Schizosaccharomyces pombe: one gene and its partner. The protein of the gene in region 2 binds, or shares a complex with, the protein of the main gene of each other region. Each region holds a gene or a part of one and is shown on either strand. Other genes may lie near its edges.

Region 1 (5,747 bases), on a different chromosome or scaffold from region 2:
AAATATTTCGATTTCAATACATTCGGCTTAAAATGTTTCATTCGGTTCGAAATGCTCTTTTATATTCCGTTCCTTGTTATCTTCCCCTTTATTTCATCTTAACTTACTTATCGTGTCCATTTGTAATCTGTAAAGTATATTTGCTAGTTTCTAATTATTTCTTTCTCCCTCTCTCTGTTTCTCTTGTTTCCTCTTACATGGTGGGGGATTGATAATTTTGGGCAATCCACTGTGAGATAAGTTTTCGTTTTTCTTACTCCTTGATGCGATAATTCTAAAGTCATATGATTCCTTTGCCTCACACCCAGCTATCGCCCCCATACTTAATCATACAATCTGTACTCACTTTTCATAGTAACTCTATCCTTTCGTAATAACCATCCTACACTAATCTAAATTGACGTTTTCCTTCGATATTACAATTTTTGTATGCGCTTTACTAGCTTACCTGTTCCTTTGTTTACGCATCCATTAAACTTTTAACTGCAAAATACAATTACTAGAAATTCATTACGAGTGCACACAAATGAATAGTTTTGCGTATACAATACTATAACCACCTAAATTAAACCTTGGTTTGGTTTTTATATACATACATCATCATCATTACTGTCGTAGCAACTGTACTTCTTCACATAACAAAGTTCATTACTATAGCTGTCTATGGTACAAACGTTAGCATACATTGTATCACTTCAAAATCAATCGATAGCTCTTTAGACTAGGAACAAATGCTTAGCCTCTCTCTTCGTTCTTCCTCAATCACGCGGCATACTGCCGACTTGCCTTAAATTTAGCGACATAGCTAATAAAAAATTAGCGATCAAAAATCCAAGTTACCATTCCTCAGGCATTATCAGCAAACCCTGTTTCAGACATTTTAAAAAATCGATTATTTTTTATATAACACAAGTGTTGGCATATTAAACGCTCGCCATGCCTTTCTCCATAATCATTCTTAAATTCATGGCCAATGGCAGTCGTCTTTTTGTCAATTTTTAACCGAATAGTGCAGTACGCTTTTAGTGTGACAACTGGCCAAAAAAAAGTCCAAACTACTGAAAATGGACCAATGTATACTGCGGATAAGCAATGCTTGTTTATGAAGATAATTGGCCATTCCGCAAGATCCTCACTCCAAGTCATTTCTTTATTAACGAGTACAAGCAACAAGATGTCAAAGATAAGGTTATCCAAAAACCGACTATATAAATATCCATAAAAGTTTTTCTCCCAATTTCCATTGCTGTTTGTCAGATGTTTCTTCATATCTCAATAAAACAATAGTAACGTTGTTCCATTTGTAGTTTTTCTACCTTGCCTTGTTTTATCTTGTCTCTTCTTAGTTATCCCGTCAATTTCATTACTAAACTTAAAAGAGCCGCCGTCTCAGTACTTGCAAAGTAGTTACAAGCATTCACTAAGGATTTTAAATGACGACTAAAACTGTCTTCGTACCGGCGTAAAATTTCTTCCATCTTATCCATTCTTCCTTCATCAAAGCTTTCTTCGGAATTCTCAAGCAAATATAAGGATCGGGTAAACGTGGAAGTATAAGAGGCAAACATAGCACAAGTATTAAGTAATTTAGATTGTACTTTAAGTAATCGCGAGTTAGTAAGCATGCATTCTTTTAGACACGTATCCAAAAAATCGATATGCTCCTGCATTAAATTATCCACAGTTCGGGCGTTCTCAAGTTCTCCCATAAATTTCCCCCAATGTGTTTCAATCACCTCACTTGTAGTATAGTAGATTATTTTTTGAACAAAACTAAGCATTCGTGTCCTTAATAACCAGCTGTTCCTTTTCCATTGTTCGATTTTCGCATTGGAGGAATTGAGACGCCAAGCACTATTCTTGCTGTGCTGCACCCAACTATTCTCAAGTTGCATTTCAACGTGACGAAGTAAAAGAAAATATCTGAACAAAAGTTGATATCGAATAATAGCTTTGCGGGATAAAATAAGTGAAAGGGGAAATGGAACTTTATAGCATAGTTGCATCGTTTCAAATCCATTAATATCTTTATCGCTACCAACTTTTGAAGTCCCCTGTGTGCTCCGATTGTGTTCACTCTCAAAATTTCGAGTTTCATTGCCCACATCCGCTTGCTTCGTGATTGATTCATTCCAAACTTCGTTTCCCTGAGATGATGTTCCTTCTTCCAAACCACTGATACTTACAATATGCATGAGCCAGTCTATTAATGATGTTTGATTCACTTCTACAGTCACGTATTCTTTATGTGGATCAGTCGCAGTTATCGTACCAGGCTGACGAAGGGCTAAATCTAATTGCGACTGCAACTTCGTGATAGATATATACTTTGCAGGTTTTCGTAGCTCGTGTTGAGCATTGTCAAGAAATGTTGTAAAAAAGTCAGATTGATCAAGGAAAAAATAATGTTTGAGCGAGTACAGATGAGCGTAAAGAGACTGTGAAGACTGGAGTAATTGCAAGAGAGATTCATTTGCATAAACATAGGCATTCATGATATTTAAAGTAAAGTTATCATCATCGAAGGTTGAAGGCCAGAGCAACTGGTTTTGAGTATCGTCTTTTGCATTTAACGAAGCCAGGTTATTAACTCCCTTCCTACACTCTAAAACGACGTTCAAATACTTGCCTGCAAAGAGTACCTTGTTTTGTAAATCAAGCAATTGTGGAGGAACTTGATCCTCTCGAATCACGTATCGTTTTTCCCAATATTCATCTGTGTAGTCTTCATCAAGTTGCATAGATGTGATTCCTTTGTGTATTTTTATCATAAATTCATCATATGGGTCATTTACGAGCCCGAGATGGATCCACTCATTCAACATTTTTGTATAAGGGCGTGAAGCTTCGCGCAATAAATAGGTTAGGATTTTTCGTGCCACAGGATCACCCGCATATTTCGTAAGACTTTCGGTCAAAAAAGAAATGACTTGCCCACCTTTACAAACCTTTTTCTTAGACCTAGTGGCATTAACAACATGTGAAATGTCATTTCCTTCATTAAGTTGCTCTAAAAGATCGTCGATGTTACTAAGACCTAAATCATCGCTGCTGGAAGCATTCTTTTCCATAGACAAAAGCAGGTCACGTAGAATTAAATACACTTGTCGTAATGAACGCGATGTGGGAAGAGTATAAAGGCGAAGAGTTTGAAGAGAAAAATTTGGATCAATTCGGCTCTGATTTTCACACTGCATGATAAGTACCACGTAGTCCATCACAAACTTTCGCAAAGCAGCGCACAATGCGTGGTTAACAAATCCGTATTCAAAATGGCTTCTCGATTCTATAAAAGCTGTGATACTTAAATAATGAGACCCCATCTCTAACATCTCAGAAGCAATATCCTTTATACCTAAATCAAATCCAGGAAGAATATAAAACGATGGCGGCATAATAATGGTTTCAAACTCAGAGGATGCTTTCATGTCTTGGAGATGTACAAATACACCCTCCATGCCCATAAATGCATTTAAGAGTTCGTTTATGAGACATGCTTCCTGCTGATGGATATTTAAGTTCGAAGGATCGCTAAAAGTCTTCCCATCGTAAAGATAATTTAATTGAATCCTATCAGAAAATGGAGAAACACCTTCACTCTTCAAAGAGACATGATAAACGCTCCCTTCCTCGAGAGCTGGAATTGGACTCCCATTCTCGCTTTCTTCTTTAGCAAGCACCGAACTAATCGATCTCACCATTTAAAGAGTCTTTTTTTATATAATCTACAAAAGTGTGAACATTTATTTAATATTTAGTGCTCTTTGTAATTATTATTCGGATATGCTTGTTTACCAGCAGGCCAGTTTTAAGATGTAGGTTGGTAAGTATGCGCCAGCTAACAATCAACGCAATTTCAAAGCAAACCAACTCAGGTCCGTGTAGCATTAAAAAATGCAAAAAAGTATAAAAAAAATTAGTCAAAAAATACATAACTAGAAGACTGCAGCATTTTCTATTGTAAGACTACCGTAAACTCAAAGGACCCCAAATACTCATTCGAGTATATATGGATAGCAGTAGACAGTGACAAATTCTATATGCTAGAGTTTATTTTGAATGGATAAAAATTTTAGATCCTAAGCTTGAGGGATTTATTCCCTTCATCTTTTTTTTTTTTTTTTTTTTTTTTTTTTTGTTGTGTTTAAATTTTTTATTCTAATGCAGACTACTTCGCTTTATTTACTAGCCAGTAGGTAATATTTGCATAATAAAAGCAATAAATTTAGCTCGGTTTTATGTTAATTATACATTTACTTGTTATTTCTTTAACAAAATAAATTTTTTCAAAAATACATATAAGCATCAATGATTTATTTACAGATAAAATGCTTTTCTAGGGAAGCAAGGATTTTGTAGTCGCATGAAGCTGGTGGTGAAATCACAAACATTACATCTATCAAAGTGTATATTGGTTGTAAAATCTCGAGTTCATCTTTTAAAAAAATAAATACAAAAAAAAAATTTATTGGTAAATGCACATACATTAAATTACTACCTCAATGCTTTATGAACATGAAAAATCCATACACCTAATCACAGGCATTCATCTGCTATACACTTATTCCGACGACCTCTTTGTTACTATATAATATTATGATTAGGAATTTTTTAGCGATATATCAATAAAATGGTTTAGCGAGATATACAAGCACTTTTCACTTTTAGCTTAAGCTTCATTGTGGCTTTTGCTCGTTTTACATCATGTCAGGTTACAGGAGGTAACGACCTGCATTGATACCTTGAGCATGTAGGAAACTGAATATCCAACAAAGAAAGAGCATAATAGCTACAGTCTTGAGCCCACCCCTTTAATATCAAATTATAACGTGTAAAATGGTATGAATAACTTTTTTAATTAATCAAAAGCATTCTTTTGTATGAAAATACTAATTATGATTCATAGACTGGTGTTCATGAAGGGACTGTGTTGGTTACTGGCGGCGCTGGTTATATAGGTTCTCATACGGTACGTAGAGAGCTTGAAGATACAGAAGAGGATTAGTAATGTACATGTAAATGTTTTAAGCACGCATCTTTTGTGAATATAGCTTGCTGCTCTTTACTTTTATACAATTTCGTCCATATTCTATAAAGCTCTTTTTTGAGATATTTTGCTAACCACAATCTGCAATAGTGCGTTGTTTTGTTAGAAAAAGGATATGATGTTGTAATTGTCGATAATTTATGCAATTCTCGCGTTGAAGCCGTGCACCGCATTGAAAAACTCACTGGGAAAAAAGTCATATTCCACCAGGTGGATTTGCTTGATGAGCCAGCTTTGGACAAGGTCTTCGCAAATCAAAACATATCTGCTGTCATTCATTTTGCTGGTCTCAAAGCAGTTGGTGAATCTGTACAGGTTCCTTTGAGTTATTACAAAAATAACATTTCCGGTACCATTAATTTAATAGAGTGCATGAAGAAGTATAATGTACGTGACTTCGTCTTTTCTTCATCTGCTACCGTGTATGGCGATCCTACTAGACCTGGTGGTACCATTCCTATTCCAGAGTCATGCCCTCGTGAAGGTACAAGCCCATATGGTCGCACAAAGCTTTTCATTGAAAATATCATTGAGGATGAGACCAAGGTGAACAAATCGCTTAATGCAGCTTTATTACGCTATTTTAATCCCGGAGGTGCTCATCCCTCTGGTGAACTCGGTGAAGATCCTCTTGGCATCCCTAATAACTTGCTTCCTTATATCGCGCAAGTTGCTGTAGGAAGATTGGATCATTTGAATG
Region 2 (4,958 bases):
TTGTGGAATGTTCATCTCTGGGGTGTGTCTTTTTTTGAGGCACATCATGTGTTACTTTTGTGTGTAGTCGTTAAGTACTACCAAACATGAAAGCAAGCGTCTGAAAGAACAATAGAAATTTCACTAGTTTTAATGCGATTGAGAGGCTTTCATGTTGATTTTTACTAACAATTTTTAGGTCATGGTTAAATTCCCTGGCAGATGCCACATTCGGAAAGCGGCCATCTTCCTTTGAATTTATCGTAAACAAAACCCGCTTTTCGTCCGCCCCGGTCGTTGCAACCATCATCATATCTTACTATCTTTTAATTCTTGTCGGAGGTAGAATTATGCGTAATAGGCAACCTATCCGTCTTCAAAAGATTTTCCAATATTATAATTTGACTTTTTCCATCGCTTCAGCTATCCTTGCACTTTTGATTTTTGAACAAGTAGCCCCTGCTATTTACAAGCACGGTTTTTTCTTTTCTATCTGCAATGAGAAAGCATGGACTCAACCGCTGGTATTTTTATACTACTGTGCTTATATTTCAAAATTCGTACGTCTCCATCGTTTTTTGACCATACTTTTTTCATTCTAACATACGTTTTAGCTTGAATTGACAGATACTTTTTTCCTTGTCCTCCGCAAAAAACCCCTTCAATTCCTTCATTGCTACCATCATGGTGCCACTGCCGTTCTTGTATATACTCAAATTGTTGGCAGAACTTCCATCAGTTGGTTGATCATTGAAATCAATTTATTGGTTCATGTTACTATGTATTATTACTACTATCTTGTAGCCAAAGGTATTCGGGTTCCTTGGAAGAAATGGGTCACCCGCTTTCAGATCGTTCAGTTCTTTGCTGATTTAGGTTTTATTTATTTCGCAGTATACACGGAGGTTGCGTATCGGTTGAAGTTTTACAAAGCCTGTATGGGCCATTGCTCAGGACATCCTTTAGCGGCGTTCTGTGGTCTCGCAACAATCTCTTCATACCTTGTTTTGTTTATCGTCTTTTACCATAACACTTACAAGAAAAATGCTGCTCTCAAAATGAAAGCTAAGGCTGCAGCTGCAACAAAAGGTAACTCATCAGAATCTTCTAAAAATGCGGACTTAAAGCGTCTCTCAAAAAGTAACGCTTCTATTGCCGAGGTTAAATGCAATAATATAGTTACTAATCTGTATCCTATTTCTTCAGGTTTAAACAATGAAAAATAATGTTTTCGTGGTACCTCTTATGGTTTTTAATTACCCGATTTTGCTCTTACTTATAACTTGATATTGAGCCCTAAAGTCTACAAGTGCCTTTTTTTTCTTTGTTCTGCTTAACGTTGCATTTAGAATTACCAATTAATAGTTGGAGTGACTTACGGGCGACGATTTTGTGAATTTTGAAAGTACTTAATTGTCCGTTAGCTTTACATCCTTGTCTATATTCGATTACTACCTTTTATCCAGTGAATCCTTTTTCCCATTCCTTAATCAAGATTTATCGACGTCTTTACATGTTCTAAACTTTTTAGCTAAACCTCTACTAAGTATAGATTTGTTAACTTCGTGGTATCTTAAGGTCAAACTTGATGGTGTGATAATATAATTAAAAAAATCAGAGCCAAAATCTTTTCTTCAATATAATGTTCTGAATCTTTTTTTCCAAAGATTAAAAGTCCATTTGTTTAATATTTTATATTAAAAAACCATGGTAATACTAATGCACAACTTATGAAAAATGGGTATAAATTAGTAAGAAAATATACGTTCTAATAACAGTACTACAGTTGTGTAAGGTTGGTAAATTTCTCTGTATAACTTGTAGTCATTGCAAGTGAGCATACGGAATTCATTATTTATTTTGAAGTTTTCTTACTATTTCAGTTAGGGAGCGGCGCCGGTTAATCTAATAACAGTAAATACGTTTAAAACAAAATATATTAGTTTTTTTTTTATTACTATTATAAATGACTTACACAGCTTAACGGCAAATAATGATTAACCCCCTTCAGTCATAAATTGACTCAACTCATTTCTCTCATGTCAAACAAAAATTTTCCTTCATTCGCGATAGTATACGAAATATACACTCCTTAATCGGCATTTTAGCAATATCAGCACATAATAAAGAACATATGAGAATACAGGCAAAGCTTAATAAATGTTTTATCAAGAACTGTAAATGACAATGTCTCGTGCGGATCAAATCCTACAGCATCTCTTAAGGGAACTAATACATAATGATTCATTAGTTGCTAGTGAATGGTTAAAACATTCAAAGAAAATCATTCAAAATGTCCCTAGTTCGACATTGGTATTTCATGAAATGATAGAACATATAAAAGGGTAACGTAAAGCAGATCTGCCGATTGTTGTTGGAATGTTAAGACTAACTTGATCTAGCATCTGTGACAAAATGGGTATACAAGGTCGGGAAGATTTAGAAATGCCTTTACGAAACGCTTGTGAAGTTCTCAATCGTCAAACCGTTAGTGTCAAGCAAAGTATATTGCATGCCCAAATATTAAAACTTTTCCTTGAATTATCTAAACCACCCTCAGATATACATGTCCCACAAATTCCCGTCTACAAAGATTGCAACAAGAATGAACAAGAAGCTATAATCCAGTTATTAACTAGTTGTGAAGGAGACCACTGGTTGATGCCTGACTGGTCTTCAATGCCTGATGATGAAACCATAACAGAAGACTCTGAGGAAGAAACTTTCAATGGAAATGCTAATGAAATTACGATACCAGCCAACATCCACATCCCTATCATCGAGGAGTCTGACAACGCGTCTAACAATAAGCTATGTACTTTATTTAAAAAAAGCAAGCAACCGAATTTAGATTTTTTACAGATAAAACCCTTTATGTTTTGGGATTCTAGTTTGAACGAAACTGTCCGAATATCTGAAAGAAGTATTATTCGCGACTCTATATATATGTTGATAGGTTATCCAAGTTTTTTCTTCTTAAAAAATGGTTCAAAAATTGAAACACGACTTTCTTTATTACCAAAGCTTCATCACATGAGCGAAGAGATTCTTCGCAGTATAATGACAGAACTTGCCGATTACGGTTCTAACTTGGAATTTTTTCGACAAAAACTAACATCTCCTAGCGATTCGTTTTTTAAAAGTGATGACCAAAGTACCAAGAATGAGCCGTTTCTCTCTGTTGTCTTCATTTATCCTCAAATAAAACCACATCTCTTAAGTTGTTTAAAAAACACACACCAAGAGCTTATTAAACTCGAAACAGAAGTTTATAACGCTACAAAGAACTGTACTCTTTTTCAATTTTTTCAACATGTAAAAAAATTCGTTGATCCACTATTGTGCTTTCGTTTCGCTTACGAAAAATCAGCAACGAATATGTGGGATTTTGTTAAAACATTGGAGTTCATATATTCAACAAGGAATTACTCTTCACAAATGTTCAAGCTCTATAAAGCTTCTGCTATTGCAATGTTATTGTGGATGGTTAATCAAGCCTCACAAATTACCAGTTCTATGACTATAGCCAGGCCTCTATATAACATTTTAATCCTTTGTAAGGATTTTCCTAACAATTTCCTTGAGAAAGACAATATTGCTCTCCAATTGGGTAGTATTGTTTTTGACCAATCTCCAACTCTAAACAATTTACTTGTGGAAATGGAAATATTAATTAGAAGCAAAATTTTAAAGCTTGGTAAATCTTTGGATTTATCTTTTGACTTTCAAAGTTTAATGGGGGAGTTTGAAAATTTAATAAAACAACAAGAAGAAGCTAAAAAGTCGTTATGGTCAAAAAGATTTAGTCGTTTCTATTATGGGCATTATGTATTCGTCAACACCTGTCATAATTTTTTCCTAACACTATATCAATCTTTTACTGAAGTTGATGAAAATTCTATATTCAACGGCGTTTTTGAAACGCTTAATAATGATGTTGATGATGAATCTGTAATAGGGGAAAAAGAGAAACTTATTTTAAAGCAAAAGCAGAAATGTTTATCTGAATTTTTTGTTGATGACATAAAGAAGCTCTTAAATGAAGAGCTGCTCAATTGTCAAAAGCAAGAGCTACCAGATGTCATGGAAAATACATATCAAATTTCGACCGTTTCAGGAATTAAAAATGATCCGTTATTTACGTTGGACCAAACCTGTAATATAATAGCGAAACTAGCGGACAATCTCATACATCCTTCTGTTCCCATTGGTAGTTCTGCCTATCGATGTAGACGAAATTTGGCTGACTTATTATTCCTTATAATGCCATGATTACGATAAAATGCCATAATATTTACCATTACGTGTATAGAATCAATAGATTTCATAAAAGTAACCTTTTGGATGAGTAAAACCATACTGACTTACATGCGATTTCTCTAGTTTCATGTCGTTTACTAACGAATGATATTTGAAAAAGACCTATATCTATTAAAAAAAATGATAGTGTGCTTTAATGAAGGTAGAAAATCATTAGTCATATTTATTTGCTTTGGGTGTTGCTGATAGTTTGCATCACCCATAACAAACACGAGTCCTTTTGAAGAGGCTCTTTAACTTCTTCTTATTCATTCGTAAATCCAAGGTTCAATTGTACGATCGTAAACTTGGATTTCCGAAGGCTGGAACCAAAGTTTAATTTCACGATTAGCGCTTTCTATGGAATCAGAACCATGGCAAACGTTTCTACCAAGGTCGATACCATAATCACCGCGAATAGTGCCAGGGGCAGAATCCAGAGGGTTACTGGCGCCCAACATTAAGCGACCAGTTTTCACGGCTTGTTTACCTTCCCATATCATGGCACATACAGGGCCTGATGCCATGAAACCAACGAGTTTCTCATAAAAAGGCTTTCCTTTATGTTCGGCATAATGTTCTTCCACAAGATCACGACTAGGAACTAAAAATTTTAGAGCACGTAGTTTGTAGCCCTTCAACTCAAATTTTGAGATGATGTATCCAATCAGTCCTCGCTG

Evidence for each region.
Region 1: mod21 (region 2) and alp4 share a complex: the UniProt entries of both Schizosaccharomyces pombe proteins name them as parts of the gamma-tubulin complex.

Annotation. Positions count from the first base shown.
Region 1 is NC_003423.3:2,522,015-2,527,761, reverse strand, and holds alp4 (gamma tubulin complex GCP2 subunit Alp4), read right to left. Parts: upstream 3,702-5,747; coding exon 1,347-3,701; 3' UTR 628-1,346; downstream 1-627. Other genes in the region: UDP-glucose 4-epimerase Uge1, read left to right, coding at 4,837-4,839, 4,907-4,969, 5,138-5,747. UniProt on the Schizosaccharomyces pombe protein: Component of the gamma tubule complex that is required for the regulation of both interphase microtubules and mitotic bipolar spindles.
Region 2 is NC_003424.3:247,973-252,930, reverse strand, and holds mod21 (gamma tubulin complex GCP5 subunit Mod21), read left to right. Parts: upstream 1-2,004; 5' UTR 2,005-2,160; coding exon 2,161-2,324; exon of another isoform or gene 2,325-2,381; coding exon 2,382-4,251; 3' UTR 4,252-4,352; downstream 4,353-4,958. Other genes in the region: fatty acid elongase Elo1, read left to right, coding at 179-539, 594-1,205; nucleoside diphosphate kinase Ndk1, read right to left, coding at 4,548-4,958. UniProt on the Schizosaccharomyces pombe protein: Component of the gamma-tubulin complex that is required for the regulation of both interphase microtubule organization and nucleation, and mitotic bipolar spindles. Required for correct septation.